Macaca mulatta: one gene and its partners. The protein of the gene in region 5 binds, or shares a complex with, the protein of the main gene of each other region. Links are inferred from orthologs where the notes say so. Each region holds a gene or a part of one and is shown on either strand. Other genes may lie near its edges. The genes, in order: MED13, MED21, MED8, CDK8, MED12, MED31 and MED20.

The links.
Region 1: the proteins of MED12 (region 5) and MED13 are in contact, whole or in part, in a cryo-EM structure (PDB 8TQC), measured with the Homo sapiens proteins. The link is inferred for Macaca mulatta from reciprocal best matches to the Homo sapiens genes MED12 and MED13. Residues at the interface, in NP_005111.2 of Homo sapiens: Ala3, Phe4, Arg12, Pro13, Arg16, Leu86, Thr123, Thr127, Thr150, Pro152, Val153, Met154, Arg155, Phe242, Pro278, Leu281, Arg282, Arg356, Pro357, Phe360, Gly361, Cys364, Gln367, Thr368, Cys372, Pro407, Glu408, Phe413, Val417, Lys1526; in NP_005112.2 of Homo sapiens: Ser157, Glu158, Thr336, Val337, Pro339, Gln340, Ser341, Gln343, Lys344, Trp345, Lys347, Phe348, Asp1186, Ile1189, Leu1190, Gln1193, Asp1194, Pro1332, Ile1333, Thr1335, Leu1337, Tyr1340, Asp1341, Tyr1342, Asp1343, Tyr1344, Leu1345, Val1346, Leu1347, Ser1348.
Region 2: MED12 (region 5) and MED21 share a complex: the UniProt entries of both Homo sapiens proteins name them as parts of the mediator complex. The link is inferred for Macaca mulatta from reciprocal best matches to the Homo sapiens genes MED12 and MED21.
Region 3: MED12 (region 5) and MED8 share a complex: the UniProt entries of both Homo sapiens proteins name them as parts of the mediator complex. The link is inferred for Macaca mulatta from reciprocal best matches to the Homo sapiens genes MED12 and MED8.
Region 4: the proteins of MED12 (region 5) and CDK8 are in contact, whole or in part, in a cryo-EM structure (PDB 8TQ2), measured with the Homo sapiens proteins. The link is inferred for Macaca mulatta from reciprocal best matches to the Homo sapiens genes MED12 and CDK8. Residues at the interface, in NP_005111.2 of Homo sapiens: Pro26, Gln27, Gln31, Glu33, Asp34, Leu36, Asn40, Val41, Lys42, Gln43, Gly44, Phe45, Asn47; in NP_001251.1 of Homo sapiens: His143, Ala144, Trp146, Phe180, Asn181, Ser182, Pro183, Pro186, Ala208, Arg209, His210, Thr212, Lys213, Met273, Pro274, Pro320.
Region 6: MED12 (region 5) and MED31 share a complex: the UniProt entries of both Homo sapiens proteins name them as parts of the mediator complex. The link is inferred for Macaca mulatta from reciprocal best matches to the Homo sapiens genes MED12 and MED31.
Region 7: MED12 (region 5) and MED20 share a complex: the UniProt entries of both Homo sapiens proteins name them as parts of the mediator complex. The link is inferred for Macaca mulatta from reciprocal best matches to the Homo sapiens genes MED12 and MED20.

What each region holds. Positions count from the first base shown.
Region 1 is NC_133421.1:49,804,233-49,808,984, forward strand, and holds the start of MED13 (mediator of RNA polymerase II transcription subunit 13), read right to left. Parts: upstream 3,281-4,752; 5' UTR 3,148-3,280; coding exon 3,082-3,147; intron 1,237-3,081; coding exon 1,002-1,236; intron 1-1,001. UniProt on the Homo sapiens protein: Component of the Mediator complex, a coactivator involved in the regulated transcription of nearly all RNA polymerase II-dependent genes.
Region 2 is NC_133416.1:29,388,315-29,393,040, reverse strand, and holds the start of MED21 (mediator of RNA polymerase II transcription subunit 21), read right to left. Parts: upstream 3,068-4,726; 5' UTR 3,035-3,067; coding exon 2,993-3,034; intron 1-2,992. UniProt on the Homo sapiens protein: Component of the Mediator complex, a coactivator involved in the regulated transcription of nearly all RNA polymerase II-dependent genes.
Region 3 is NC_133406.1:197,279,000-197,283,121, reverse strand, and holds part of MED8 (mediator of RNA polymerase II transcription subunit 8), read right to left. Parts: intron 2,226-4,122; coding exon of another isoform or gene 2,199-2,225; exon of another isoform or gene 2,129-2,198; intron 2,022-2,128; exon of another isoform or gene 2,013-2,021; 5' UTR 1,998-2,012; coding exon 1,992-1,997; exon of another isoform or gene 1,482-1,991; intron 660-1,481; coding exon 541-659; intron 1-540. Other genes in the region: KICSTOR complex protein SZT2, read left to right, coding at 2,199-2,225. UniProt on the Homo sapiens protein: Component of the Mediator complex, a coactivator involved in the regulated transcription of nearly all RNA polymerase II-dependent genes.
Region 4 is NC_133422.1:6,508,939-6,513,060, reverse strand, and holds part of CDK8 (cyclin-dependent kinase 8), read right to left. Parts: intron 2,016-4,122; coding exon 1,872-2,015; intron 1-1,871.
Region 5 is NC_133426.1:77,600,081-77,604,114, reverse strand, and holds part of MED12 (mediator of RNA polymerase II transcription subunit 12), read right to left. Parts: intron 3,330-4,034; coding exon 2,955-3,329; intron 2,732-2,954; coding exon 2,581-2,731; intron 2,424-2,580; coding exon 2,218-2,423; intron 2,055-2,217; coding exon 1,977-2,054; intron 1,887-1,976; coding exon 1,669-1,886; intron 1-1,668. UniProt on the Homo sapiens protein: Component of the Mediator complex, a coactivator involved in the regulated transcription of nearly all RNA polymerase II-dependent genes.
Region 6 is NC_133421.1:8,125,490-8,128,987, forward strand, and holds the end of MED31 (mediator of RNA polymerase II transcription subunit 31), read right to left. Parts: exon of another isoform or gene 3,445-3,498; intron 3,425-3,444; exon of another isoform or gene 1,789-3,424; coding exon 1,596-1,788; 3' UTR 885-1,595; downstream 1-884. Other genes in the region: TXNDC17 (thioredoxin domain-containing protein 17), read left to right, coding at 96-164. UniProt on the Homo sapiens protein: Component of the Mediator complex, a coactivator involved in the regulated transcription of nearly all RNA polymerase II-dependent genes.
Region 7 is NC_133409.1:140,256,449-140,260,570, reverse strand, and holds part of MED20 (mediator of RNA polymerase II transcription subunit 20), read right to left. Parts: intron 2,464-4,122; coding exon 2,309-2,463; intron 1-2,308. UniProt on the Homo sapiens protein: Component of the Mediator complex, a coactivator involved in the regulated transcription of nearly all RNA polymerase II-dependent genes.

The DNA of each region.
Region 1 (4,752 bases), on a different chromosome or scaffold from region 5:
CATTCTATCCAGAAATAAAATAGATCCTATAGGTCATTGGGACAATAACAAAAACTTCAGAGTACTCAATTTCAAACAAGAACTTTAAAAAAATTATCTAGAAATCCTAAATTTATCTATCAAAAATCATTATCAAACTATCTTACTGAAGTGTTCGGAACCTTATAGCATACAACCAATCATTTACATTCCTATTATCTAAGATTCAGTAAATACTGACTTTGACAGTTCAAAGCTTCAGTAATTATTATGAAAAGCTATAGTTTCTCTTTCTAAAGTAGCATTTGGTCCTAAAAGTCAAGAAAATAAGGAAGTAATCACATTGATTTGCTCATAATAAAATTGTTTGTGTAACCTTTTAGATTATGATCCCATGTCCTATAAAAGCTAAACAAGTTGGCACTTGTCTCTTATTGAGTATGTGACAGAACAGTATATGAGTCACTTTCCAAAAATAACTAAATTAACATATGCCTTCATATGTTAATCAAACAGCACAAATGACAGTAACAAAATACTTACATACCTTAAAACATGCGCGCACACACACACACAAACACAAGGATAGTTACATTTCCAGTACTTTTAGAATCATCTGCCCATTTAATGCAAAAGACTCAACTTTGACAGTGGCTGAAGTGACTCAAAAGTTACATCTGGCTTCAAAACTATTACATGACTTTGTTAGGAACTCTGTTTCCTGATTCCATTTTTTGAGATTAATGTGGCATGCCTTCCTTGGACCCTAACTACCCGTGAGAAATTAAGAAGAGAGGTGGTAAAAGGAGAAAGTCATTCAAGCCTAAAAAACCCAGCTATAACATGGATAATTTGAGTAAAATAAAATAATCATGGTGAAATAAAACATGAAGCTCAATTTTTATCTGGCCTCCTACCTAAGTGTCCCACAAAAACAAACTTACTTTGTAATACAAATGATATTCTGGGAGAAGTATACAATGTTGCTGTATCATTAATTAGAAATGGAAAGTTTCTTTCACCTGATAAGTCATGGTGAATAAGGTCAGCAAAATTGGGGTCTTCACCCCACCAAAATATCCACAATTCTCTTCTTCCAGGTCTTTGATCTCGCCGCCAAACACCAAGTACATCTGCCTTAAGGCAGCGACTAAAACTGCTCAAAATGGGGTCTTCTTCTGTCACAGGAAACAGAATAGGGGCAGAAGTTGGGCCTTGCCATACATATTTTTTCCATTTAATTCCCGTCAAGTCAGCCTGAAGAAAAGAAAGCATGATGTTTTATTATTGCATATTCACTCATATTCACAAAAGTACTCCATACGATGTCTCCTATTTCGTTAAGACATTACAATTTTTCAATATATGCTTGAGCTATTGAATGCAAATTAGAACCAAAAAAAAAATGACTTTATAATTCAACAACCAACAATTTTAGGGAGAAGAACACAGTTAAAAATAAATACCACCATGTCACTGAATAGCAAGCAAATATGTACTCCAAGTAGAAATAAAAGAAACTGAATGAAGTTAAATATAGACAGACACACACACTTCAATATACAAACAGAGTACATTTTTCTCTGTCCTAAATGGTCACATTTATTCATTGGTGTCAAACGTTTAACTGAAAATCAATTATTAAAGACCCTATCACGAGTTTTTATTCCACATTTACAGAAGTAATGTCTCTAATGAAAAGACATCTGAACAAGTCCTGAAAAAAATCTATGTTAATTCTTCACACATACCCCTGTCGGAAAAGTCAAATAGCTGCTCACAAAGAACTGTCAGATTTGTGCTAGTCTATCTTCAAAGAGCCTGATCCTAAAAGTATCAAAAATAGACTGAGTTGGATAAGATAGAATACAAAACCTGGTGTATGTCGTATTATACGTGAAGAGATGCTGATTAATGGACATTGAAAAGAAAAACATACTGTAGAAGAGGATAGAGTATGAAAGATCTCAATTTAGCATCCAGAAAGAAATTCAAGAGGAATTCAATAATTTAATCTAACTTAAAGGTGCAAAGCATAAGGTGCCAAAAATGAAACTGCTGATACATGACTGGCAGTTTACACTTGCCAACTAGTTGTGCTCCGCCCACTTAACTCACTTATTACCTATCATATACTCTTAATATTTCTCATAGCACAAAGGAGAAAATGAAAAAATAAAGTCACCCAAACTTAAAGTCATTGATGAAGCTCAGCTACTGTCCCACACAGGCCAAGTTATTTGCAACAGTTGGTACTTTTGAAAGTCTCAACTGTTGGATGTTACCAGACCTGGGCTAACCTACACAATGGTCATCCCTACACCCAGCTTCTCTGGACTTTTCATTTCAATCAAACAAGGGAGCAGCCTGCTCAAAACATTCTGAAAAAGCAAGCAAAACACAATAAATATAGAAACAGTGCAAAACCACAGCACCTCGTCCATTAGCCCCCTTCACTCGCACAAAAAAAATTATGTTCTAATAAAAGCAAGATGGCTAGAAATTGTCAAAAATGGCAAACTGTTTTCAAAGTTTAAAAAGAAAACATATGAAATGGCACCTACTGGTTTTTACAGAGAGATCTTAAGTCACCCAAGGAAGAAACTAACCTTGCGTTAGTTTGACTCATACAAAAAAAATGTAAAACGAAGACAGGTTTCTGGGGCATAAGTTCTGGGGTCCTGTTTACATGGGGAAACCAAATTAAAAGGATGAGACATAAAGGCGGTGGGGAGCAGGGGCAATAATGGAAAGTGTGAAGCTGGGATACAAGGCCAATAAGCAGAAAAGCAACAGTTAAGAGAGAGAGAAAGGTTACTGTCCTGCCAGATAAGGAGCTCAAGTTGAGGACGAGACTACGGTGAAGAGGAGAGTCCGAAAGAAGACGAGAAAAAATGCCAACACTCCCCAAACAGGGCCCGGGACCGTGGGAGAGCGAACGCAGTCTCCCGGGGTTGGCCGCGGAGCTTCGCAGGGCGCCGGCTCCGGCTGGGCCTCGCCCGGGGACTCGGGCATCTGGACCAGACCCGGCCCCCTCCCCCACGGCCCAAGGGCGCACCTCACGGCCCCCCTCCCTCGGCGCCCGCCGGCCCCGGCACTCACCAGGCAGAAGAGGTTACAGTGACAATCTTCCAGGCTGGCCCCGTTCGGCACGAAGGAGGCACTCATCGTCCCTCACAGCAGCCGCCGCCGGCGCCACAACCCACCATCCGCCATTACCGCCGCCTCCGACCAGAGAGAGAAACACAGACACCGGGGAGGGCGTGGGGGGGGTAGTGGTTGGGGGGGCGGTGGAAGAGGAGGCCGCCGGGCCGCCCGCCCTCCCCACCCACCCCCCCGCCGCCGCCGCTGCCGCCGCCGCGAGCAGCCCCCGCCGCCCGGCCGGCACCCAGCCGCCCGGGGCCGAGGGCCGGAGGCGGGAGGGCCGCGCCGCGCTCGCCTGGCGGGCCGGACTGCGGAGCCCGCAGACGCTCGTCCTTCTCTGGGAGACGGAGGGGATGTGTGCCCCTACCACAAGAAAAATAATAAATTACACAATAAATAATCAAAAACGAGTCCGAGACGGCAGAGCCCAAGCCCTGGAAGGTTCTCCCGGGCGGGGAGGCGCCCACACAGGGGCGGGAAGGGCGAGAACCGGGAGAGAAGCCCAGGCCCCCGGCCCGGCAGCGGCGATGTCCTTAAGCCCAGAGTCTCCTCAGCGGCGGAGGTGGTGGCGGCGTCTGCGGGCTCAGACCATTCTCTGGCTCTGTCTTCGTGTCGTCCCTGGGCCGAGCCGGCCTAACGTCTGCCCTCCTGCGGCCTCACCGGCTGGACGCCGTAGTCTCCCCCATTTTGTGGGCCCAGCGGGCGGTGTTTTTCCCCCTTTAATCCGAATTCACGGGTTTTCCCTTCGCTTTAATGGCGGCCACAGGGACCAGCTCGCCCTCTCTGCTCACCCATTGGCCGCCTTGAGGTCACGTGGGCCCGGGCTCCGTGGGGAGGGGGAGAGAGAAGTGAGCGAGGGAGGGCCGGGAAGCTTTCGGCCGAGGCGGTGAGCCCCGGGGACTGGGCAGCCAGCTGGTAGCCACTAACATAGCGCCACCTGCTGGGTGCCCTGGCCAGTGTAAAATGACCCGTGGCCCTGGCCCTGTCTTTGCGGGGAAATTTACAGTCCAGGAAGGTTCATTTCACAAATCAATGGGAATTACGTGGAAATCAGTTTGAGTTCTTTGGAAGAGAAAGTATTGACAAAAATTCCAAGACATTCTCATTTATTTCGCGAGGCCGCTGGGGTGCAGGCGCAAACCTCTGGATTTGGGAGTCAGACGATCTGGATGGGGACGAGACTCCACCACCTAAAAGTTGTGATATGAAGATAGAAACTTAAGAAACAAAATATTGCCCTGTAGTTAATAGACTGGGAATTAGAGCCACACTCCCTGGGTTCCAAGCTTGAGCAAATCACTTTCTGCCCTGTGTCTTGTTTCCTCGTCTGTAAAACGGGGAAAACATGCCCCTTACCCCACAAGCTTATTGTAATGAGTTAATGCAAATTAAGCAGGTAGCCCAGGGCCCTGCACAGATAAGCACTGTTAAGAGTTAACTATTATTGTTGTCATCGTTACCTCATACAGTTATTGTGAGAAGCAGGAGAACTAGTGTATGTAAAGGTCTCACTACGTTTTTGTTGTTGTTTACTTCTGTCTCTCTAGTGCCTAAAAAAAGATACCTAGCACACAGTAGGTGCTTCATATTTGTATATTTACAAATGAGTGGGTGGTAAGAAGTAAGAAC
Region 2 (4,726 bases), on a different chromosome or scaffold from region 5:
CACTACTCCTTCATATTTACCTAACTAGTCATAAAGTCACTTATGACTAAATGGCTTTGCCCAGGTTTTAATAATAGTAATGGAGCAGTAAGTGCTCAGACGCTATACAAACGTAGATCCCAGCTCTATTAACCCAGGTAGCATTTTTCATTTTTAAATTGGATACATTCTCCTATTACAGCATTGTTGTGAGGAAGAGGAAATACACAAAATATTCAACACAGTGTCTATCTGTTCCATCCTTCAAAAACTTTTAGGCCAGGCGCGGTGGCTCAAGCCTGTAATCCCAGCACTTTGGGAGGCCCAGATGGGCGGATCACGAGGTCAGGAGATCGAAACCATCCTGGCTAACACGGTGAAATCCCGTCTCTACTAAAAAATACAAAAAACTAGCCGGGCGAGGTGGCGGGCGTCTGTAGTCCCAGCTACTGGGGAGGCTGAGGCAGGAGAATGGCTGAGGCAGGCGAGTGGCGTAAACTCGGGAGGCGGAGCTTGCAGTGAGCTGAGATCCGGCCACTGCACTCCAGCCTGGGCGACACAGAGAGACTCCGTCTCAAAAAAAAAAAAAAAAAAACTTTTAAGATCCATTTAGTCAACAAAACTTTATGGAAAATAACTATGACAAGTACTACATTTAAACACTATAGAGACATAGTGAATGCGACATAGCTTCTGCACTCATGGTTTTCAGAGGGTAGAACAAATGTTAAAAGTTATACAAATCTGATTAGGATAAATGCTAAGAAGATTCCCTCTATTTTGGTTCACATCACTCCATATTCCAATTTACTTCAGAACCTAAAGCTGAAAATACTCAATTCATTATAACTCCCTAACCACATACTGTTTTTCCATCACTTAAATGTCTCCTGAGTATATGACATTTTTTTAACCTCCTTAAGGAGTATCTCTTTGCAAACATGATAGTGCTTATACACAGTAGGCACTCATACTAGTTATCCTAAAGGCTTTTCTCCAAAATCCAATTATCAGCATGCCTAACCTGGAGTTAAGGCCATATTCACTCTGTCCTTACTATCCTTCTAGTTACAAGACATGTATGAATATGCAAAAGTTTCCCTAAAATAAGATTTCTATCCAGCAGCATCATTACAATTTGATTTTGTAAAATCTCAAAGGAGTAGTTCCCTGAGGAAGGCTGACTGGCAGCTCAGGCAAGTCCCTGCAGGGCAGAATTTATCTTGGTGAATTCAACATTTAGAAGCTGGTCCTCTCAGCCTTAAAAACTAGTGTTATTCACCCAGGGTAGATCAGTTTATCACAAGTAGATTCACACTCTTCAAGTGTACAAAGCCTGATGTATTAAGAAAAATGCCAAGTTATTAGCTTACAGTGAGGAAAAAAAACTGGCAAAGAAACCAGGTACTTAGGTTTTCCTCTCAGCATGTTTTCTCTCTAGCCCCTCATCTAGGACGTTAAATCACAATCAGACAATGAGAAACATAACTATCAATGGAAAACTATTTAACAGAAAACTATGTAACTGGTAATGGTAATAAGTATACCCATTGCAGCAAGAGAATACCCACTGACGTCTTGGTCAACGGGATGCATATATTATGTCGGTCCCCTATGGTTATAACAACGCTGAAAAATTCTTACTGCCTAGTGACATCATAGCGGTCTGTGCTTGTGGTGACGCTGCTGTAAAGCAACCTACGGCACTGCCAGTGTATGAAAGTCTAGCACATACAATTAAGTACAGTCCATGATACTTGATAATGATACTAAATGACTTTGTTACTGGTTTATGTATTTACTGTTTCCTCGTTATTATACATTGTACTTCTACTTATTAAAAAAAAAAGTTATCGCCGAAACCATGCATTTCTCAGAACATAACCCCTTCATTAAGGGCCCATGACTGTATGCGCATCCTCTGGCTTTGCTTCTGCTTTCCACTCAGGCATAGCTTGGAGGAAAAATTACCAGAAGGAACAAAGCTGGGGAGCTACCTACAAGACTTGGCCTTTAATAGAGCGTAGAATTTGGGGGAGACGTTAAAAAAGACTTGTAAGCCGGGCACGGTGGCTCACACCTGTAATCCCAGCACTCTGGCAGGCCGAGGCGGGAGAATCGCTTGAGGCCGGGAGTTCGAGACCAGCCTGGGCAACATGGTGAAACCCCGTCTCTACTAAAAATAGAAAAATCAGCCGGGCGTGGTGGAGGGCGCCTGTAATCCCAGCTACTTGTTTGGCGGAGGCGGAGGGTGCAGTGAGCCGAGATGGCACCACTGTACTCCAGCCTGGGCGACAGACACAGTCTCCAAAGTAAAAAAAAAAAAAAAAAAAAAGGAAAGAAAAGAAAAAAGAAAGACTCAAATAAACGGAAAGACATACGAGAATCAGAAGATTTCCTATCATAAAGATGTCCCCAAACTGATGCATTCTGAGGGGTGGCCAAGAGACAAGAGATGGAAGGAGGCTCTGGGCCCACAGGAAGGAGCGAAGATGAAAGAAAATCTCTCACCTCAGCGTCGCTCCGCACCAACCTGAAAGCGCTGGTGAAGGAATACTCTCGGCTGGCATTTCATTACAAAAACCCAGTCATCCACAGCACGAGATCTCCCTTGGTGGATTCAAATTGATGAGGAAAGAAAAGAGCTCCTGCTTCTCCTCCCAACCCCCAAAAGAGATCCCGTAAGCACCGCTGCCAAGAAAATAAAACTGTCCTCAGGGAATACGACAGGACCGCGCAGCCGACAAGTCTTGGCGGCCCCACCCGGACAAGAGCAATCTTCCCGGTCTCCTCAAGCGAAAGAGGCTGCTCCCTCCCGCACCTTCAAGCACCGCCCGGCAGCCGGCCTCACACCTCCGAGTTCGCGGTGGCGCCTCCCGAGAGAGCGCTTTATGCCGAAGCCCTGTTTCTCAGTCCGCTTTCCACTTCCAAGTTTTGCCTCTTGGGCCCCTTTTCTCCCTTGCTTTACCTCAGGAAAGAGAAAGACAGAGGCTAATCGAATGAAATTCCTCACCGAATTCACAGCGTCTTGAAGCTGCGTGAGCCGATCCGCCATGTTCTTCCTGCAGCAAACAGACGCCAAAACAGCTGCTCTTCCGCGACTGGGCAGCTCTGGTACGCGTCATGGCCAATCCCAGCGCTGCCTTCTTGGAAGGGGTGGGGTCGGAGAGAACTCCCCGCCCCGTCAGGAGTGGGTGGTACTGCCGAGGCGGCCTTAGAGCGGGCTACACCAGAGGAGAGGCTGGATCTTTTGAGTAACTGGGGAGCGGCCTGGGGTCCATCGCTTTGAGGGGCTGAAATACTCTCTTTGAGGTTGTTAGGTGTTAAAGGCTTCAGAGATTGTTGGATTCAGCGGGGATTTTTTTTTTTTTAGTGATTTCTCCTATCCTCTCATGTGTTTACTTATTGACTACATTGAAGAGTAGATATATTTATTTATTTTGAGACGGAGTCTGGCTCTGTCGCCTAGGCTGGAGTGCAGTGGCGCGATCTTGGCTCACTGCCAGCTCCGTCTCCCGGGTTCACGCCATTGTCCTGCCTCAGCCTCCCGAGTAGCTGGGACTTTAGGCGCCGCCACCACGCCCGGCTAAATTTTTTTTTTTTTTTTTTTTTTTTTTTTTTTTGTAGTAGAGACGGGGTTTCACCATGTTAGCCAGGATGGTCTCCGTCTCCTGACCTCGTGATCCGCCCTCCTTGGCCTCCCAAAGTGCTGTGATTACAGGCATGAGCCACCGCGCCCGGCCAAGAAAAATCAGCTGCACAATTTAGATTTAGAGTTGGGACTTATTGAGAGATTAAGTGTGAAGAGTGATAATAGAAACTTGGTATTTAAGGAAATTTAGCCTGAGGATAGTCTGGTAAGAAATGAGTTTGGAGTCGGCAAATAACAGGTTTGGAGACATCAAACAAACTCTCATATCCTCTTTCTCAGGTTGATTATCCGTGATTACCTTCCTGCGGCTGCGGGGTAGGTGGTGGACACAGTCCCCGGGGAACTCAGCTTGCTGGATTTATCCCAACCCTTGCTGGGAAGCACCACTTCTGCTTCACACCCATGCCCCACCCTCATCCCCAAACAGTCTACAGACTTACTGGGGCCTCATTAAGAACGTGGATGAGGCATGCTCCCCATAATGGAACTAATGAGAAATCACTCCATAATTTGTTCTAACTGTAACTTGGGGGAATCTACAACCTTTTCCTCCCACCTTCACTTGAGCGTGTACCTTACTGAATGCCTGCCACATGCCAGGAAGTATATCCAGTGCTCAGTGTGCAAAGATGAATAAGCCAAGGACTCACCAAGAGGAAGGTTTTGCAGTTGTCCAAGATTAAGGTGAGCTGGGCCTAGAATAGGGTGTTGGTTGACCCTGATAAGAGAGGAAAAAAAGACTAAAATATATTTTTGAGAAAAATAATTAATACGGATTGGTGACTGATTGAATACAGTTTAGTCCACTCCGTAAGGATACTAAGTTTTGCAGCGTGATTGAAGGGAACTTGGGCACTTGAAGTAGAGAAGTCACTTCAAGACAACTCATATTGTGACACAGTTTTTGTCCTGCCACTATCTTCCTAGTAGGTCTTCCGTGCCTCCACAGAGACCTCAGGTTGATGTCCAACTATCTCTGCCTAGTTGTCAAGATTTACTATAATCTGGCTCCAGCAAACAGACCCAGCCTCACCTCTTGATAATTTTCTGAGTGAAATAATCCTCTGTTTCAGCCAAGGGCCCTGACCCCTTGGT
Region 3 (4,122 bases), on a different chromosome or scaffold from region 5:
AGCCCTATGACTAGCCTAAGTGGGAAGAAACTAACAAGGATGACAGGGTTATGAAAGAGGGACATAGTTTCAGTTTATGAAACAGATGTAGAAAAAATCCAGTTCATTGTTTGAATGAGGTGAGGAACAGTGGCAAAATAGGACTATACTGTTATAACTAAAACTTCAGAAACCCGGTAAAATCCTTCTTTCCAGCCTGGAAATAGGATCCACACTTCAGAGTAGGTTGGATCTAAAGGACTCAGCCATATTTGTGGCAAGAGATCCAGCACAAATAGAGCTGTAATAGGAGGACCTCCTCACCAGAGAAGTCAAAGGGTAAGAATTGAAAGCTATAATGAACTTGGGTTAGGAAACCGAGCATTTCTCTACTTCCTTGCCATGGAAGCCACTTGCTAAATGTTACGAAACCCAGCTCTTTCCAAATCAAAAGATGTTTGTAAACTGATAAATGGTTACATCATTAGAAGTGTCCTATTCATCAGAAGGCTAGGCCCCCCCACCCATAAGCCCTCCCTAGCTTGCCCTGGCAACCCTTACCAGGTCAGCCGGCCATACTCGTTCTCCAACTTGCAAATGAAACTTCCCAGTGAGTTCTTCAGATCAGCCACTTGACTCAGCAGTGCATCTAATGATGCCTCAAGCTGCTTCTCCTCTCTCTGCACCAATAGGAACAGGTTGGTTACCCAGATAAACGAGTATGACACATAGAAAGGAGGGCTGAAAAGCCAAGGAGATGGTGTGCAAACACCAGTCAGGTAACAGGATCTCATTGGCATAGGATAACCAGGTTGTTTCCTATCTGTGGTATTTGGGTTATAGACAGCATCAACCCTGAGACCTTTCAACCGTTTGCCTGACCCAAGTACTTCCACCAACTGATTCCTTTTTCCCATCCGCTCCTAATCTATGCCTGGTTTTTCTCTGTATTAGGTACACCCTACACTCCCTCATTGAGACATTTTCGACAAACCTAATGCCAGATCATTATCTCATGTGCACCTCTGTAGCACATGCACTCCAGCTTCCTCCATCCTAGCATTTGTGAGCCTGGCTCTCTTGTCAGTCTCTGGGAAATCTGCCTACTCATGAAGACTTCTCTGAATACCAGCCCTGCTCTCCTCTTTCCCTCCCCCCACCAACCACTCCAGCTTTCCATCTGCTCTCATCATTTCATGTTTCAACCTTCTCCTCGCTGAATTAATATGCACCCATCTATCTCTGTGTCAATATTCCCGTGCCTCTTTCACAAGCTCGGTCAACCCAATAACATTTCTTGAGACTACCAGCTGCAGGAAACTAAGTGACAAATGAAAACCAAAACCGCACATGCTTCTAAGCACTGAACAAACAAATTAAAATGCCGGGGGTCTGCAAAGCATTTCCTTCCCATCGGTGGTATCCTGTTTTATTCCATTTCTTCACCCTTAACAACTATAGGGCACAGGCTGGGAAGAGTGATGCAAAACTGTCTTGCAAACCTGCTAAGGTGCCTGACAGGAACTTGATCCTGGGTTCCACCATGGCCTCACATTACAAGCTGCTTAGCTTTCGGACACCGCGGCCCACAATTCCCTCACTGCTTGGGCTTCTTTCCAATTAGATCCCCTGCTATATCGGCATCCAACAGCCTCCATCCAGCAGCTTAGGACAGGGCCTGAGCCAACCCACCACCTCCTGAGCCGTCTTCCTTGGACTGCATCTCGGCCTCCCCGTATTACAACCTAATCCTTTCCCACGCCAAGCAAGTCAGTGCTGCCTCCTCCCTCCGGATTTAGCCCGACCGCCTTCTGTCAGGCGAGCTCCACCCCCACCTCTCATCTGCGCCGCTCCCTCTCCAATTAACCTCGCCCCCCAACCCACGTTCCCTTATCAGCCGTGGGTTCTGCCCTCTCTTCTCAGTCCCAACTCTTCATTCTCCTTAGCCAGCCCACTCTGGCTCCCTGTAGCCGAAGCTGGCCAGCCGCTAGCACTCCCAACGCGGCTCTCACCTGCATTGCGGCGGCCGAGGCGACTGCAACGATTTCCACTTCCGGTTTCCTGTCAGCAAACGCCTCTGAGAAGGCTTCGTCCACCAATCAGAAAACTGGAACTCGGCCCTCCCACCCACTTCCTGTTCCTTCCGGGTGCCGAGGTAGCCAGGTCAGGGGTCAAGAGTGGAACACACAGGCCCGGGCCGGCGCGGGAGGGCTTGTGTGATGGCCTCGGAGCGCCCCGAGCCGGAGGTGAGGGGCGGGCGGACGCAGCACTGGGCCCTGAGATCCGAGGGGGAGGGTCCGGCGGGCAGGCGTGGCGTTGGCCTCCTCTGGGTCTGGGGGTGGCCGGGCTGCGTAGCCTCGGCAGGGACCAGCCCAGCCCGGAAGGCCCGACTATGGTACCCCTGCGGACTATGGGACGCGGTCTGCAGTTTCCTCGGGGAGCTAAAGGAGTAACTCTTTTTGCTTTGTTTTGTTTACTGACGTGTCATCCGCGTCGTCAACTCTTTGACCTAATGATAGTGGTATTAACAAAATTTGTATTTTGACTTTCTGTTGCAGTTTCAATGGGCAACACGGCAGTAGATTTAGTTTGCCGGGTTTTGTATTTCTTTAGGCATTGGAATGCTGTAAACAGCATGAATTCATTTAGTTCTAGGGCCCATGCTTTTAGAAAAGCAGCTTTAATTTCATGAAAAAAACATTTGAGTCGGACTGAGACCTCGCTCCAATATTGGCGCTGTCATGTAGCTAATCTGTGCAAGCTCAAGCGAGTCTTCCCCGATCCTGTTTCCTTCTTTATAAAATGGTCTTACAGTGTGTTGTAAGGATCACATGTAATAAACCAGAAAGGGGATATGAGATATTCATTAGATGCTAAGGAACATGCAAGGAACCTTATATACATTGTGTCATTCAGACTTCTGCAAGGAAGATGGCGTTCTCACAGAGGAGAAAACTGAAAAATGAGAAAGATTTAGTACCTTACTCAAATGCCACTCATCCAGGAAGTAGCAATTTGGAGTTAGAAGATCTGAGCTTAAAATCTCAGATTTGGATAAAACACCACCACTAGGAAAGGTGCCAGTATATTAGTAGGTGGAAAGGGTGAGAGATGTGTATAATGATACAAATAGTATTCATTACTGCATACATACTGCATGCTTGGCACCATTCTAAGCGCTTTACCAGTATCAATTCTGTCAGCCCTATGAAGTGGACACTGTTATCTCCTTTTTTTTGGTTTAGGAACTGAGGCACAGAGATATTAAGAGTAACAAAGTAGGCTGGGCGCAGTGGCTCACACCTGTAATCCCAACACTTTGGGAGGCCAAGGGGCGGATCACCTAAGGTCAGGAGTTCGAGACCAGCCTGACCAATATGGAGACAGCCTGTCTATACCAAAAATACAAAATTAGCTGGGCATGGTGGCGCAGGCCTGTAATCCCAGCTACTCAAGAGGCTGAGGCAGAAGAATCGCTTGAACCGGGAAGGTAGAGGTTGCGATGAGCTGAGATCAGGCCATTGTACTACAGCCTGGGCAACAAGAGTGAAACTCTGTCTCAAAAAAAAAAAAAAAAAAAAAAAAGTAACAAAGTTACACAGCTGTTAAATATTATAATCAGGACTCCAAAACAGATGGCCAGGCTCCAGTCCTTGTGTTCTTAACCATATTGTTCATAGTATAAATAATAAAGTAGCCACAGAATGGTAAATCTCCTGTTCACTGGGATTTGGTGTGATAAGACCCAATGTTGAATATGGTGGTGGGAAACCATGCCTTTTTTAAAATAGTCATGTTCACAGAGGTGGTAAAATAGCCCATGCATCAGAAATATCAGTCAAGATCAATCAGAAATATTAATACAAGAAAAACTATGAAACAGTTTAGAGGATGTTTCATTAGAAAGTGAAAGGACGTGGAGGGATGTTGTGGGGAAATACAACCTACCTTTTAGGCAGATAGTCTAGAACGACACCGTCCTGTAGAAATCTGAAGCAAGCCATGTGTGTAATATTAGGTTTTCTGATAACCACATAAAAAAATAAATGAAATAAATTTTAAAGATATATTTAACCCAAACTCCCAACATTTTCAAAATGTAATAAAATACAAAATATTGTGAGATATTTAACATTTTTTTGG
Region 4 (4,122 bases), on a different chromosome or scaffold from region 5:
TTTGCTCTTGTTAACAGCCCAGGCTGGAGTGCAATGGTGCGATCTCGGCTCACCCCAACCTCCGCCTCCCGGGTTCAAGCGATTCTTCTGCCTCAGCCTCCCGAGTAGCTGGGATTACAGGCATGCGCCACCATGCCCAGCTAATTTTGTATTTTTACTAGAGACAGGGTTTCTCCATGTTGGTCAGGCTGGTCTCAAACTCCCAACCTTAGGTGATCCGCCCACCTCGGCCTCCCAAAACCTTTAGCTTTTAAATGGCCTTCAGAGGCTTGCTTTTCTTTGAACTTACTTGTAAAAATATTTGGCAACTATCTTCCAAAGATATCACATATTGGAAACTAAACATACACTTACACTCCTAAATGGAATTTTCTCCTTAACTATTTCCTTGCTCCAATTTCTCTATCTTATCGACTTCTCAAGCTAGAAATCTTAAGATAATCTTTTAGTTTTCCCTTGCTTATACACTTCCTATAAAACATTTCCATCTGCCCTTTTTTCTCCATCCTTATTATCACTCTCACTTTATGTCTGCAGCACTGCTACAGCTGGTTTCTGATTTCGCTTACCTCTTTTTAACTGAGTTTTACCTACCACCACCTTACTAATCTTTCTAAAATGTAGCATAAATCATGTCTCTAGTACTGAAGAACTTATCATGGATTCTCATTCTTTAGCTATCAAATCTAACCTCTGCTGCCTGCTTTCCAAGCTTCCTTATAAACCACCCTAACCTCTGAAACACACATTAAGAGTTGCTGATAGATGTCCTCACTCCATATATTCCCTCACAGAAGCTATGCCTTTCTCATGGGCTCAGAAATGGTGGACACATTCAGAAGCAGGAAGAAAAGAGAATTCTTCTGTCTCTACTCAAACCACACCTATTTTTTAAACATTCTACATATAGCAGTACAATGTAAACTCCAAGAGGGCGATAATCCTGTCTGTTACATCATCAGTAACTTTTTACTTAAGACAGTGCCTGGCACATGGCAGGTACTTAATAAATATTCACTGAATAAATAAAATTCCTATCACAACAGAGGTCTTCTTCAAACCGGTGACCAATTTTGGAGAAAGGCAGTATCTGTGTAGTTATTCTGCATTTACTGATAATTAACACCCTTACAAGGGAATGTAGAATTAAAAGTCTCAGGTATTATCTCTATTAGTCTTCAGTTAAGTACTTGACTAGCCAAAATTTAGGTGTTCTAAACAAATTCTCATTATTCTGGACCTCTGAGCAGTTTCTGGTGATCACTGTTCTGTAGTATAACTAGGGATTGAGATACAGTTGGAGAGATCTAATGCCAGGGATGGGATACATGTAAACCACCTCTGTGTTGCAAAACAGCAGGCCAACTCACCACAGAGTACTACGAGTCACTCACATTGTGACTGTTCTGAGAAGACGTAAATGCTATTATTCAATATAATGTGATTCTGTATAGTGCCCTAAATAGAAATAAGGCTCAAAATAGTGGCAGTATTATATGTGCTGCTAGAAAAAAATTTCTACTACTGAATTCATTTATAGTTTCCACTATAAATGAACTAAGGTACCTTTCTAATACAGATATTGCAAATATTTTATCATTTCACATATCAAACAACAAAACAAAAAAGCAAAACAAGATGAAACAAAAATACAGTCCTTAAATTCAGGAAAACCATAAATATGTTCATGACAATATGTAAACTCTACAAATTTTGCTGTTTCTACAGATCTTTGATAAATGCAAGTCAAAAAGCAAAGACTCGAGTCAAGAGTAGCTTCCATCAGCTAAAAATATATACCTCTCCAATGAAGACATCTAAATTCAAACAACAGTGATTTAAAAACAAAAACAAAAACGAATAATGTGTACCTGCAGGAAATCCCATTACATTGAATATTCTGTCCAGCTGGTCATGGTGATAAGGATTACTAGTTTTGATGTCCTCTTGTCGACAGTGAAATATTGGTTCTGACGTTAGTAGTTCTGCAAATATACACCCTATAGCCCAAATATCTTTAAAACAAAAAGAAAAAAAAAAAAAAAGAAAAAAAGGCAAGGAAAAAAGAAAAAGAAAGGTGGAAAATAAAGTGGTTCTTTCCAAAAGAAAATGCAATTTTATTTTCTTGGGGAGTGTCTTCTTTCTTTCTTTCCCTAATAACTCATATTAATTCCTAAGCAATTATAATTACTAAATACCACGAAACATTATTGTAAGTATATATTCCCATGCCATCCACCCCAATTTTTCATTTTGTATACCTCCACATCACCCAAATGGTTTCACTCTAAGCCCAATTAAATGTACTGGCTGGATTTTGGTAAGTTTTCAATGTCCCAGATGATACCTTTTCTGTGAACTACAGTAAAGCTGCATATGGAGCATGGAACTACAACCAAAGCAAACCAAACAAAAACAAACGGAAAATCCAAACAGTATTTGAAATTGGGCACTGGCCTAACACAATCGGCATAAATTCTTGTGATAAACTATTTTTTATTTACTTGCTAATTTGCAAAGTCTAATAATTACCCTCTCATGTTAGCACTAATGAGTAAGGTGGTATTCCACCAAGAGACAATGCCCAACCTCAAAAAGTCTAAGAACTAACAGCATTTCTACTTTAACAAAGTTTTTCTTTCAAAGTGGTTCTTGATGCCATAAGCAGTGTCAGATTTTGCAAATTTAATATTTAATACGTAGGACAGGAAACAAAAGCAAAATATTACTGTTAACGTGGATTATAAATTCGGCTGGGTGTGGTGGCTCATGCCTGTAATCCCAGCACTTTGGGAGGCTGAGGCGGATGGATCACGAGGTCAGCAAATCAAGACCAGCCTGGCCAACATGGTTAAACCCCATCTCTACTAAAAATACAAAAATTAGCCGGGCATGGTGGCATGTGGCTATAGTCCCAGCTATTCGGGAGCCTGAGGCAGGAGAACTGCTTGAACCGGGAGGCAGAGGCTGCAGTGAGCCGAGATCACGCCACTGCACCCTAGCCTGGGCGACAAAGCAAGACTCTGTCTCAAAAAAAAAGCGGGGGGTTATAAATTCAAATGAATTATTGACAAAAGCCAGGCAAATGGGTTTCTCTGTACACAACAAAGTGAATTCCTTTCATTCACAAGATACAGATTTACTTTCATTCATATTAACTTTGTACTCAAAAGAACTATTAGTAGAGGTAAGATCTATTTGCCAATTTAGAATTTAAAGCTGAAAATATTTCATTTCTACTCTTAACAAATCCTACACTAAGTACAGTGGTGTGCATATAGCAGACCCTCAACATATAGTTTTTGACTGACCTAACCAATACCTGTGACAAATATAAATAACCAAAGGGGACAAATAAAAATTACTGTTTTATTAAAGCTGATTGTTCAGATATGTTAATAACTGTCACTTAAACAGGAAATAAGGAAAAAAACCTAAAATGAGAATTCCTAAATTCCAAAACTGGAAGAGATATTTAATTCAATATAAAATTACACACATTTACATTTCAAAGTAACAAATTAATCATCTATTTACTTAAAGATTCACACTGACTGCAGCAAGTGATTTTAAAAAATGACATCATATTTACATATCAGACAACCAAGCCTAGCCAATATCACCATATGGAAAAGTCTCATCAAGAAACATAGGCCAACCTATTTTGTTTTTGGCATCAAAAGGTATATGGGGAAATTATTTTGTGATTATTCTTTTTATATGGGTACCCCCTATAGATCTAACCTTCGATAATCAACAGCCACATAGGCAGCTAAGTAGGATCATAAAAAGATGATGGATAGCTTTGCATGTTTAAAATTCTACCAGCACACCCAATAAACACAGTAACAATTCATCTGGTTATTAAAAACTCCAAAGAAGAAAATAAAATATGTAAAGGAAGATGAAAGGTAAGTAATTTAGCCATAATTAAAGCTATACTGCTCTTAGCTGAGCATACTGGCATATGCCTGTAGTCCCAGCTACTCAGGAGGCTGAGGCGGGAGGATTGCTTGAGCCCAGGAGTTTGATTCCAGCCTGGACAACATAACAAGACCCCATTTCACAGGAAAAATGTATGCAAAGCTACACTGCTTTTTAAAGAAAAAGTCCGGTCATCAG
Region 5 (4,034 bases):
GCCTGAAGTCTTCTTCTTGCACCTCCCAGTACACATGCTATCCATTCATTCCAAGGAGTCTTGCAACATACCCAACTCCTCCTATCACTCTTCTGATCAAAAGAGTCCTTACTGGGACTGTGTCTCAATTCTTCAGCTGAGCATTCAAGGCCATCTCTCAGCCTGCCCCCTCCTAGCCTAGCCCCAGTGACTTCCCCAGCACAGATTTTACACTCCATCCAGGCCCTTCTCCCCAGACACCATCCTCATTCTTGTCCCCATGTCTTTGTTCATGTTACATCCTCTACCTGGAATGCCCTTTCCTCTTCTCCACAAATCCTAATCACAGCTATTCTTCAAAGGCCAACTCAAGTCTGACCTCCTTCATGAAACATTCTCTGATGAGTCAGGCCCACAGATACTACCCCATACTTTTTCTCAATCCGCATTTTACCTCATAGCATACAACTGCATACCTGATTATATCTTTGCTCAGAGTGTTCTCTCAATGTTCTTCTGTAAGTCTCATCTCCCCAGCTATAGTAAAGATTCTTTGTAGTGAGGAACTATGCATTTTGGGGTTTTTTGCTATCTTTCTTCACCTCACCCAGTCCTGGTATAGTGCTGGCCACACAATGGGCAGTTAGTCCACTCCCCAGTGTTCTTAATCCCAAGCTTTGGAGTCTCTAAACATGGTTACAAGGCCTGAACTAAGGCTTGACTAACATTAACCATGGTGGGAGGATTCATTCATTAATCCATCCTGGTATTCAACCTGGTATTTAAAGCCGGTACTGGCTTTAGGACTCCTTATCATGTAGTTCATCTATGAACTCCAGATATTTTTTTTTTCTTTTTCTTTTTTTTTTTTTTGAGACAGTGTCTCACTCTGTCACCACTGCAGTGCAATGGCGCAATCAATCTTGGCTCATTGTGCGATTACAGCTCACTGCAGCCTCAAACTCCCAGGCTCAAACAATCCTCCCACCTCAGCCTCCTGAGTAGCTGGGACTACAGGCATGCACCACCATGCCCAGCTAATTAAAAAAAAATTTTTTTTGGCCAGGTGTGGTGGCTCAGTTCAAGACCAGCCTGGGCAACATGGCGAAACCCCATCTCAACTAAAAATCCAAAAAATTAGCTGGGCGTGGTGGTGTGTACCTGTAGTTCCAGCTACTTGGGAGGCCGAGGTAGGAGGGTCACCTGAGCCTGGGAGGTCGAGGCTGCAGTGAGCCATGATCATGCCACGACACTCCAGCCTGGGCAACTGGAGTGAGACTCTGTTTCAAAAAAATATGTTTTTTTTTTTTTTTTAGAGATGGGATCTCCCTATGTTGCCCAGGCTGGCCTCGAATTCCTGGACTCAACTGATTCTCCCACCTTGGGCCCCCAAGTGCTGGGACTACCAGTGTGAGCTACCACACAGCCCAGATTTTTCCATGAGTCAGATAAACAATTTCCCCTCTCTGGGCCTCAAAGAACTGTTAAGGAAGTACACATGAAACTATTGGTCTCCAGGGTCCCTTCCAGCTCGAGACTTCTGTGGTTATGGGCTATGTGGCCAGATAAGTATTCTTGACGTCTCCAAAAGTTCTGACCAGTCCCATCACCTTCAGGCACGGGCTTTCCCAAGTCAAATGCTCCCTTATACCTCTGCATCTCTTCCTAGCTCACCACTACTTTGGGTACCTTTGAGTGGAGGTCAGTCCATGTCCATAGGTGGGGGCCTGCTGGTGCACATAGCCACTGGGCCGCTGTTGCAGGTGGCGGGTAGGATCTACAAGAGTAGGATTGGTAGAAGGGTGGGTGCTCTGGTAAGGCTGGCTGGAGTAGCTGGGGGGCACCATGGTACCTGCAGGGCCTGTGTGTTGCTGCAATCCCACATGAGAAACATAAGGAGTATAGCCCTGGAGGGAAGGAGGAGAGAGGGAATCAGGGCTGAGAGTATGCAAAGCAGCTTGCCTCATCCCCCGAGTCTCACAATCCCAGGCTCTTACCTGGGAAGTCTGCAAACCGTAGGAAGAGCTGGGAGTCATCTGATGGACAGATGACTGTCCCAACATGCCCTGACTCTGCTAAAGGGAGAGAAGAGAACAACTCAAACTCAGGAAATGCTTGCTGCCATCTCATCTCTTGTGTCTCCTGCTCTGAGTGTCCTTGTGAAGATCCCGTGTCTCCTCAGTCCTGTGACCCTCAAAAGCCCCTCTCCCTGACAGCCCTCCCTACTGCCCCTCTCACTATCTTTGCCTGGAGCTGTTGGCGAAGGCGCTGTCCTTGGGGCACCGCAGGTTGCTGCTGCCGGTACACAGAGGTCTTATAAGAGGAGGGTTCTAGGCCCATGACGCCAGTCATGGTTGTGGGCAGCACTCCAGGGTAAGTCGGTCGGGTGGGCAGCTTCTGCATTGGTAAGCGCACAGGGCGGTACGGGTCCACACGAGGGCCACCTGGAAAGGAGAGTGGGCTGACCTCTAGGTTCCTCATCCCTCTGTCTCTTGCTCAGTGTCCTTGACATCCATAGCTCCTCAGGGGAACGGCATCACCCTTTGGGCAGGGGGAGTATACACCTAGGTCCCTCCAGCATTCCTAGTGGCTGGCACTCACCTGCAGGTAGTGGCTGGTTCTGGGTGTACAGGCCTATGGAGCCTTGCCTGTAATTAAGGTGGGTTATGGAACCAGGGTTTGGGTGGTGCAGGAGGTCTGGAGGCACTGTCACACCATAAGGGCCGCTCCGACCCGGGCCCATTCCATAGTCCTGTGTGAGTGACAGAAGAAGAGGGTGAGTGGGTTGTAGCTGAGTGGGGTCGGGGAGCTGGGGGAGAATGAGGTAAAGAGGAGCTGGATTTGTACATGGTTAATTTTTATTATGATTCTAATGGCACCCCTTCCTTATGCGCCCCCACCCCTCCCACAAACCAGAAACTGGAGCGTCATGAAGTAAGAGGCTGTGGGAGAACTGTCACGGGGGAGACGCTCACCTCTGTCTTGGCAGCTGGCTGGCTGCGTTTCTTGCCCTTGGTGGACTTCTTCTTGCGTTCCTCAGTACTGGGTGGAGCAGCCCCCGGTTTGTCAGTTTTGGGGGGCTCTGGAGCCTTTTTCTCAGGCTCTAGCAGGGTAGGAGCAGGGGGCTCCTCATCTTCTGGGGGCAGTGGCAGCGGCTCCAGGTAATAGGCGCGGGGCCGGGGCCTCAGGTGTGTGTGGTAGAGCAGCAACCGCTGCTGCTCCTCTCCTCGAGCCACTCGCCGGTCCACCCGCACTGTTCCAAACCAGCCCCAAGACAGCGGTGCTGACGGCTTCAACCCCTCAAAAAGATCCCAGGGCGAGATCTTCTGTTTGGTGGAAACCTGTAGACCCTGCTCCAGAAAATGAAAAACAATAAGCTGTTGGGACTTAGAAAACACAAGAGAGACCGCAAGCACTTGTAGGAGTGGGTAGAAAGTCATAGGTAGATTCAAGAGAGATGGTAAGAAACAGACAGACACGGATACACACATACATGCAGAAGAGTTATGCGGGGAGAGAGTGAAGGGTGGGGGACAGGGAGAGGTATGGAGACGCAAGATGAAGCCAGCCAGGACCAGGAGAGGAGACGAATGAACGGGGCGGGCGGCGGGCGTGTGGGGAGAGAAGCCGAGACCGGGAGAGAAAGGGGTTGGGGAGAAAGCCAGAGAGGAAGTGGGGAGGGAGAGGGATTGACATTCAGAGGCAGACAGAAAAAGGAAGGCAGAGAAAGAGAGAGAGGAAGGCAGGGAGAGATTCTGCCTTTAGGCAGGCAGAGAAAGACAGAGTCAGAGAGGGAGAGAGAAACAGGAAGAGAGACAAAAAGGTGGAGAGACAAAGAAAGGCAAACGAGTCAGACACGGAGAGAGACAGAGACAGAGGAAAAGAGACAGATGGACTAGGAAGACAGATGAAGAGAATGTATATATGAAGGAGTTAGACTTTGGGTTTTAAACTATACACAATAATTATGGTTACTCAACAAATACGCAACTGACAGAGAGGGAAAAGATAAAACTGTGCCGAGATGGGTGGGTGTAGGGAGAGAAACACAGAAA
Region 6 (3,498 bases), on a different chromosome or scaffold from region 5:
GTGTTCAAAGATTAGTGTCATTCAAGGCAGAACCTATTCCACTCCTAATAACGTTTTATAGGAGTAGTGAAGATTTGACTGTTCTTCTCTTACAGCCTCAAAAACTGGTAGAATCTGAGTGTCTTCAGGCCAACCTGGTGGAAATGTTGTTCTCTGAAGATTAAGATTTTATGATGGCAATCATGTCTTGATTTCCTGATTTGTTCTAGTATCAATAAACTGTATATTGCTTTGAATACATGTTAGCAATAAATGAGGTTAAAAAACTGGCATGTGTCTAAACAGTAGGGTGCTATTAAAATGCCCATGAACCTTTAGTTTGCCTGTAATATATGGATATTTTTAAGATATAAACAAGTCTTCAGAAGTAGCAGTAAAGGCTCAAAGGAATGTATCATTGAAGGTGACGGAAATACCTAAAAACTCCTAAAGGCGCAGAGCACACCTTCCAAATCTTTCAAAAGATCAGGATCTTTTATTTTAAATTCTCTGCATCTGCAAAGCAACTGATAGTCCTGAAACCCCTTCTTTGATTTTGGAACGTAGAACCTAACCTCACCACTGAGGGAAGCATATTACCTCTAATCCAGCCTCTGCTTAATTCAGGCAGTTTTGTTTTGTTCATGAAAAAACCGACCCTGAGCACTAGAGGCAGTTCGTTTTGTGGCTTCTCTCAACGTGCTTTACTTGGGATTAGGCAGGTGGCGGCGAGGGGCTGGAGAGACTGTGTAACCCAGTGGTGGGAAGAACTCCAAGCTGGAGTCAGTCACACTGATTCTACCACTTACTAGCTGTGTAACCACAGGCAAGTTACCCGCCCCATCCAAACCTCAGTTTTCTCTTCTGTAAACAAGGTTCTGAGAATAAAATGAGAATTCAAGGAAGCACTTAACATAGCACCTGGTATGTGGTACCTCCCAAATCAATGTTAGTTTTCCCAAATGAGCACAAGTATTTGAGGCTCCTCATGTTTGTTCTAAAGTCAAGAGTCCAATTAGTAATTAACCACTAGTTGTCCTGCCATGACTAGGTCAAATGAGGCCACAGTGATTCTTAAAGCCACCTTGCAAAGCAGGTAATACAGGGATTTCCTGTCCTGCAGAATTTGAGAACCTTTATGCAGTTCCTATCCTGTGATTTAAAGAGGTCACTGACTCCGCTACTCTCACTACATAGATAAGAGTGGTAGAGTAGTTGATCTGAGAGACAGTAAGGTTCCAGGAGATGGCCTTGCGCTACTATATGTCAGGAAGAGCTAGCCTTAGAATTCAGTATACTTGGTGGCCCACCCCTACCCCATGCCCCAGTGCCTCATTTGGTCTAAAGCACCTAACTTTTCCATTCTTAATCAGCTGATTATGCTAAATGCATACAAAAGAAAACACCTTACAAATCCACAGGGAAATCAAAGTAGACCAATTCAGGTTTAAAAGAAATAGTCTATTAACAATAAAAAGTTGGATTAAAAAGCACACTAAAGGTTCTAGGGGCTACCATAATAAAGGTAGATAGGAAGAGTTTTCATTTTTTGTCTTCACTGTACAAAAGAAATACATTATATACATGTATTGAGAGCCTCATCTGTATCCGGTTTTTCATTTTCCCGATGTGTTATTTTGCTGTTGCTGCTCTGCCAAGGCTTGCTGAAGGCGCATCCGCTTCCGGGAATAGTGCTGCCAATGTAGAATCTGCTGTTCATCAATGAATTTCGCACACTGAGCATTCACCAGCTCCTTTCGGAAGTGTTCGTATTGGAGCAGCTCTAACATGTGTAAACACTGAGGGTACCTGGGTTTAAGTTTATAAGTAAATGAACAACATAATTTAAGTAAATAATGCCAAGGTCTAATTAAGTTATTCTCTTAAAAATGATCTTGTAGCCTACCATTTCTTTAACTTAGTACACACTGGCAGCATAGGGTGTTTTCCCTGATTGGTCATCAAAGGTCAGTGTTCAGCAATATTTTCGAAAGTGAGAAGGTTTAAGTTCAGAAAGATTAAATTTAAACTTGCTCAGGACCACACAACACAGTAACTGGTAAGCAGAGTGAAAATGTAGGGACAAACCATGCTATTCCCTTCTAGTGGTTTCCAACGTGAAGAACATGAACATATTTTACTAATTCTGTGTTTAATTGATAGTTCTTTGTTTTTCCATCAATAGTGATAAAAAGACAACTTTCATTTAAAAGTGAGTTGGTTTGAAAGAGAACTATGCACATACATTATACTCTTCTTGTCCACAGGGATATACCAACTCTGAAATTAGATATACTCTAGGATTGGACAAGTAAATATACTGTGGATAAGGACAGCCAAATTTCGACAAGGAAAGGAAAAAGGCTAGAATGAATCCTGTGTTACTGAGCTGGTATTGAAAACATTAGTATGTACTTAGGGCTTTTAATATAGGTAGACAGGATAAACAGATGTATACATGTGTGCATGGATACACATACAAACATAGAGTTCTTGAGCTTTGTGTACTGAGAGGGCCTAGAAGCAATGACACTGTGGTACTAATGAACACACAATGTCCAGATTGTGGTATCCAAGGAGCAGGTTTCCTTGGAGAAAAGGGTGATTCAGGGATAAGAGAGGGAAAGTACAAGATGAGCCTGGAACATTACGTAGTGCCAGAAGAAAAAGTGCTAAAAATTATTGGGACGATCAAAAGTATTCAGGAACCAACTTGAAGGGACTCCCAATGGCCAAATCTAGAATACTCAGAGCAAGAAAATACATAATTCTAATTCACAGGATAAAATACTAAATGGATGTAAATTTCTTTAATAAAATAATAAATAGAAAACAAGGGAATGTACTGCCTTACAATCGAATTCCAAACTAATAAATGCAGAATGACAGAATTCGAAAATCACCACAGTAAAAAATGTTTCAAACAAATATCTTCAAAAGATGCTAAAATGGGCATGTAATATGATATTTACATAGTCTCAAAGGATTTCCCCATAAGATACTTATTAAATACATAAGGAAAAATAGTAACTTAATATGGAGAAACCTAGAAGGTACCACCCTCAACCAAGTTATCAAAATTAATGTCACCAGTAGTGGGACAAATAGACTTCATGTGACTGCAGATACATGAAGGATACAAAATCATTTCTGTCACAGTCATGGAAAAGAAAAGACCACTGAGATGAAAGGAGACTAAGATGTGACAGCAAAATGCAACATACAGGCCTAGACTGGATCCTGTACTACATACAGCACCCCAGCAGGACAACAGGCCTAGACTAAAGCCCATACTACATACAGCACCCCAGCAGGACAACAGGCCTAGACTAAAGCCCATACTACATACAGCACCCCAGCAGGACAACAGCCTAGATTGGATCCTGTACTACATACAGCACCCCAGCAGGACAACAGGCCTGGACTAAAGCCCATACTACATACAGCACCCCAGCAGGACAACAGGCCTGGACTAAAGCCCATACTACATACAGCACCCCAGCAGGACAACAGGCCTGG
Region 7 (4,122 bases), on a different chromosome or scaffold from region 5:
TATCAGAGGCAGGAATGAGGGCTGCCTAGCAGAAGCTAGAACCAAGGAAGTGAAGACACAGCCACGGCTAGAGACACTGCCCAAAGCAGAGGGAGAGGAACACTGTGGGCTTCCTTTCTCCCATCCTCTAATCTTCTCTGGTGCCTCTCAATAACCAAAGCTAACTAGGAGAGGGCCTGGAAAATACAGCTTACAGGGGAAGTGCAGGAAATGGATCTAAGGGAAACAGGTACATGAGAGGCGTGGAAATAGTAACAGATAGGTTGTTGGAGTTACCTACAGGTACACAGTTAGAATGTGGCAAAGCCAGGACTCAGGGCTCTGGCTCCCCAGTGATAACCACAGTGTTATGGAACTGTTCAAGGTCAAGTTACTGCAGAGCCAAGACTAAGAGAAACAAGTTCCCTAACTCATATCCAAAGAGTCTCTCATTGCCTGAGCCCAGGAGTTAAGAGCTTGCAGTGAGCTGTGATCATGCCACTGTACAGTTGGGCAACAAAGTGAGACCCTCACTCTAAAAAGAAAAAAAAAAAAAATCCTCTCTCCCTCCCAACCACCATCCCCCATCATCCACACCCCATCTCATCACTCAATCCACTAAAAAGAACAATTGATTTATGCTAATGAGGAGGTCAATGCCAATGGTTAGGTGTAGGAAAACAGGAACTCTATAAAAAGAAACTTCTAGAAGCCCTAAAGCTCTAAAAGAATCATAAACAAAGACTTCTGGGCCTAAAACAAGTCTTTCTCAAATTTCAGAGTGCATAAGGATTGTCTGGATTATTAAATGTAGATTACGTGGCCTACAGCAGCAGTCAATCAGTAAACAAGGCCAGGAATCTGCAACTCTAACAAGTATCCCAGGTGATTCTGATGTGGTTAGTCAGTGATTAACCCTCTGAGAAACATTGCTTTTAGAGTTCAAACTGCACAAAACAAAAAGCACTCAAGGAACACAAGGGCCAGACATGGTGGCTCATGCCTGTCATCTCAGCACTTCGGGAGGCCCTTGCTGGTGGATCCCCTGAGCTCAGGAGTTTGATACCAGCTACTTGAGAAGCTAAGGTGGAAGGATGTCTTGTGACTGGGAGTTTGAGACGAACTTGGGCAGCATAGTAAGACACTCCCATGACCCCACCCAAACGTGAAAAAATCAGCCAGGCATGGTGGCACATGCCAGTAGTTTCAGCTACTCAGGAGGCTAAGGTGGGAGGATCACCTGACCCCAGGAGTTTGAGGCTGCAGTGAGCTATGAGACACCAAAGCACTCCAGCCTGGACAACAAAGCAAGACTCTATCTCTTAAAAAAAAAAAACACACACACACACACAAAGAAATTTTGGGATGTAACAGATATGTTTAGTACCTTGGTTGTGGTGATGATATCATAGGTGTATGCATATATCCAAACTCATTAAGATGTATGCATTAGATGTGTGCAACTGCTTGTATATCAACTATACCTCAATAAAGCTTTAGCCAGGAGTGGCGGCTCATACCTATAATCCCAATACTTTGGGAAGCTGAGGCCGGATAGTCCCTTCAGGCCAGGAATTCAAAACCAGCCTGGTCAACATAGGGAGACCCTGTCTCTACAAAAAATTTAAAATATTAGCCAGGTGTGGTGGCTCATGCCTGTCGTGTCAGCTACTCAGGAGGCCAAGTCAGGAGGCCAAGGTGGAAGGATCACTTGAGCCCAGGGGGTCGAGGCTGCAGTCAGTGAGCTGTGATCATGCCACTGCACTCCAGCCTGGGCGACAGAGTAAGACCCTGTCTCAACAAAATAAATAAAATAAAATAAAATAAAATAAAATAAAATAAAATAAAATAAAGCTTTCAAAGGCCCTATTCTAAGAAATAAAGAACCAATAATTAATGAATTCAGAAACACATCTCGCCACATGTTTAAGAACACCACCCTAGCCGGGCGCGGTGGCTCACGCCTGTAATCCCAGCACTTTGGGAGGCCGAGGCGGGCGGATCACAAGGTCAGGAGATCGAGACCACGGTGAAACCCCGTCTCTACTAAAAATTACAAAAAATTAGCCGGGCGCGGTTGTGGGCGCCTGTAGTCCCAGCTACTTGGGAGGCTGAGGCAGGAGAATGGCGTGAACCCGGGAGGCGGAGCTTGCAGTGAGCCGAGATCGCGCCACTGCACTCCAGCCTGGGCTGGGCGACAGAGCGAGACTCCGTCTCAAAAAAAAAAAGAACACCACCCTTAGCAGAAAAGCAGAAATACTTCAATTAATACAAATGTCTATTAACTCCAACCCTCGTTCCAGCCATCCTACAGACCCATGTCACTGACCTTGGCTGCCAAGGGTAGATGCAGCCGTATGGTAAGTCTCACAGTCCACACAAAATGTTCCTTGCTTCTCTGCCCCAAGCATCTCCAATTTCCGGGTAAGGAGCTCTACGGTTTGCTGAACACTCTTGCCCTCAGCCACAGGCATCTGGGACACACTGGAAAGGAGAGCACCAAATTGTCAGTTATCCAGAGACACACATGTGCTCACTGAGCCACTCACTCGCCCACAGCATCACAGCTCGTCAGGGCCAAAAGTTATCTTGGAAATTACCTACTCTGACCGTCTCCCAACCCCTGCAACTTTATTATAAATTTAAAAAAAAATTTTTTTTGGCCAGGCATGGTGGCTCATGCCTGCAATCCCAGCACTTTGGGAGGTCAAAGTGGGCGGATCACGAGGTCAGGAGTTCAAGACAAGAATGGCCAACATGGTGAAACCCTGTCTCTATTAAAAATACAAAAATTATTTAGCTGGGCGTGGTAGCGGGCGCCTGTAATCCCAGCTACTTGTGAGGCTGAGGCAGGAGAATCATTTGAACCTGGGAGGCAGAGCTCGCAGTAAGCCGAGATTGCACCATTGTATTCCAGTGTGGGCAACAGGGCGAGACTCGATCTTAAAAAAAAAAAAAAGTTAAGACCAGTCAAGTGCAGTAGTTAGAATGGGGAAGAGTAGAACAAGGAGTCCAATCTGTAACCGAATGTGAACAATCAATTAAGATAACTCATTACACTTGGACTAGTCCCCCATTTTAAAGACAAGGAATAGAGGACCACTGTCCCTGAGAGCCCCTCTAAGAACTGAAGCATAGTTCTCAGGATTCTCACACCAGAGCAATGAACTTCCTATCATGGGACATTCTCAAGTGTGGCATGCCGAAGATTCTAAATGGCACACAGGCTGAGCATTCAATAATGCTGAGTTATATAATGAAAAAGGGATTCCTTTTGCAACTCTTTCAGTTCTGACTACATCAAGGACAAAGTCTCAGTTTGGGTTTACACGTTTTTACCAACTCTGTGGAGCTGTTCAGCACAGTAGCCCAGAGCCACAGGTGGCTGGGGCTAGTGTATTGGACACTGCTGTTAGAGAACATTTCCATCATCACAGAAAGTTCTAGTCAACAGCCCTAGGAACAGAAAAAAAGCAGCCTTCAAGTTTATAATCTTCGGGAATGAGAGGCAACAGTATTCACAAAAATTGAATCAAAACAATGGAACAAAACAAAACAAAAAAAACATTTCCAAGGTTTCCTCCTATGGTGAGTGAACCTCATATGGTGGCTTCCCCTTTAGAGTGGTAGGTAACAATTGCCAACCAACAACGTGCCAGTCTGCGTCCTAAGGCCTTTAGATGAATTAACACTCCAAATCCTCACAATAGTCCTATGAAGATGTTATTTATCAACTTGTTACAAATAAGGAAACTGCCGGGCACTGTGGCTCACACCTGTAATCCCAGCACTTTGGAAGGCCGAGGTGGGAGGATCACTTGAGGTCAGAAGTTCAAGACTAGCCTAGCCAACATGGTGAAACCCTGTCTCTACCAAAAATACAAAACTTAGCCAGGCGTGGTGGTGTGTGCCTGTAATCCCAGCTACATGGGAGGCTGAGGCAGGAGAATTGCTTGAAACCAGGAGGCGGAGGTTGCAGTGAGCCAAGATCGCACCACTGCCTTCCAGTCTGGACAACAAGAGCGAAACTCCATCTCAAAAAGAAAAAAAAAAGAGGAAATTTAAGTACAGTACAAAGAGGTTAAATAACTTGCACTAGGTCACACAGTTAATGCGTGGTACACCCAAGACTCAAAGCCCAGC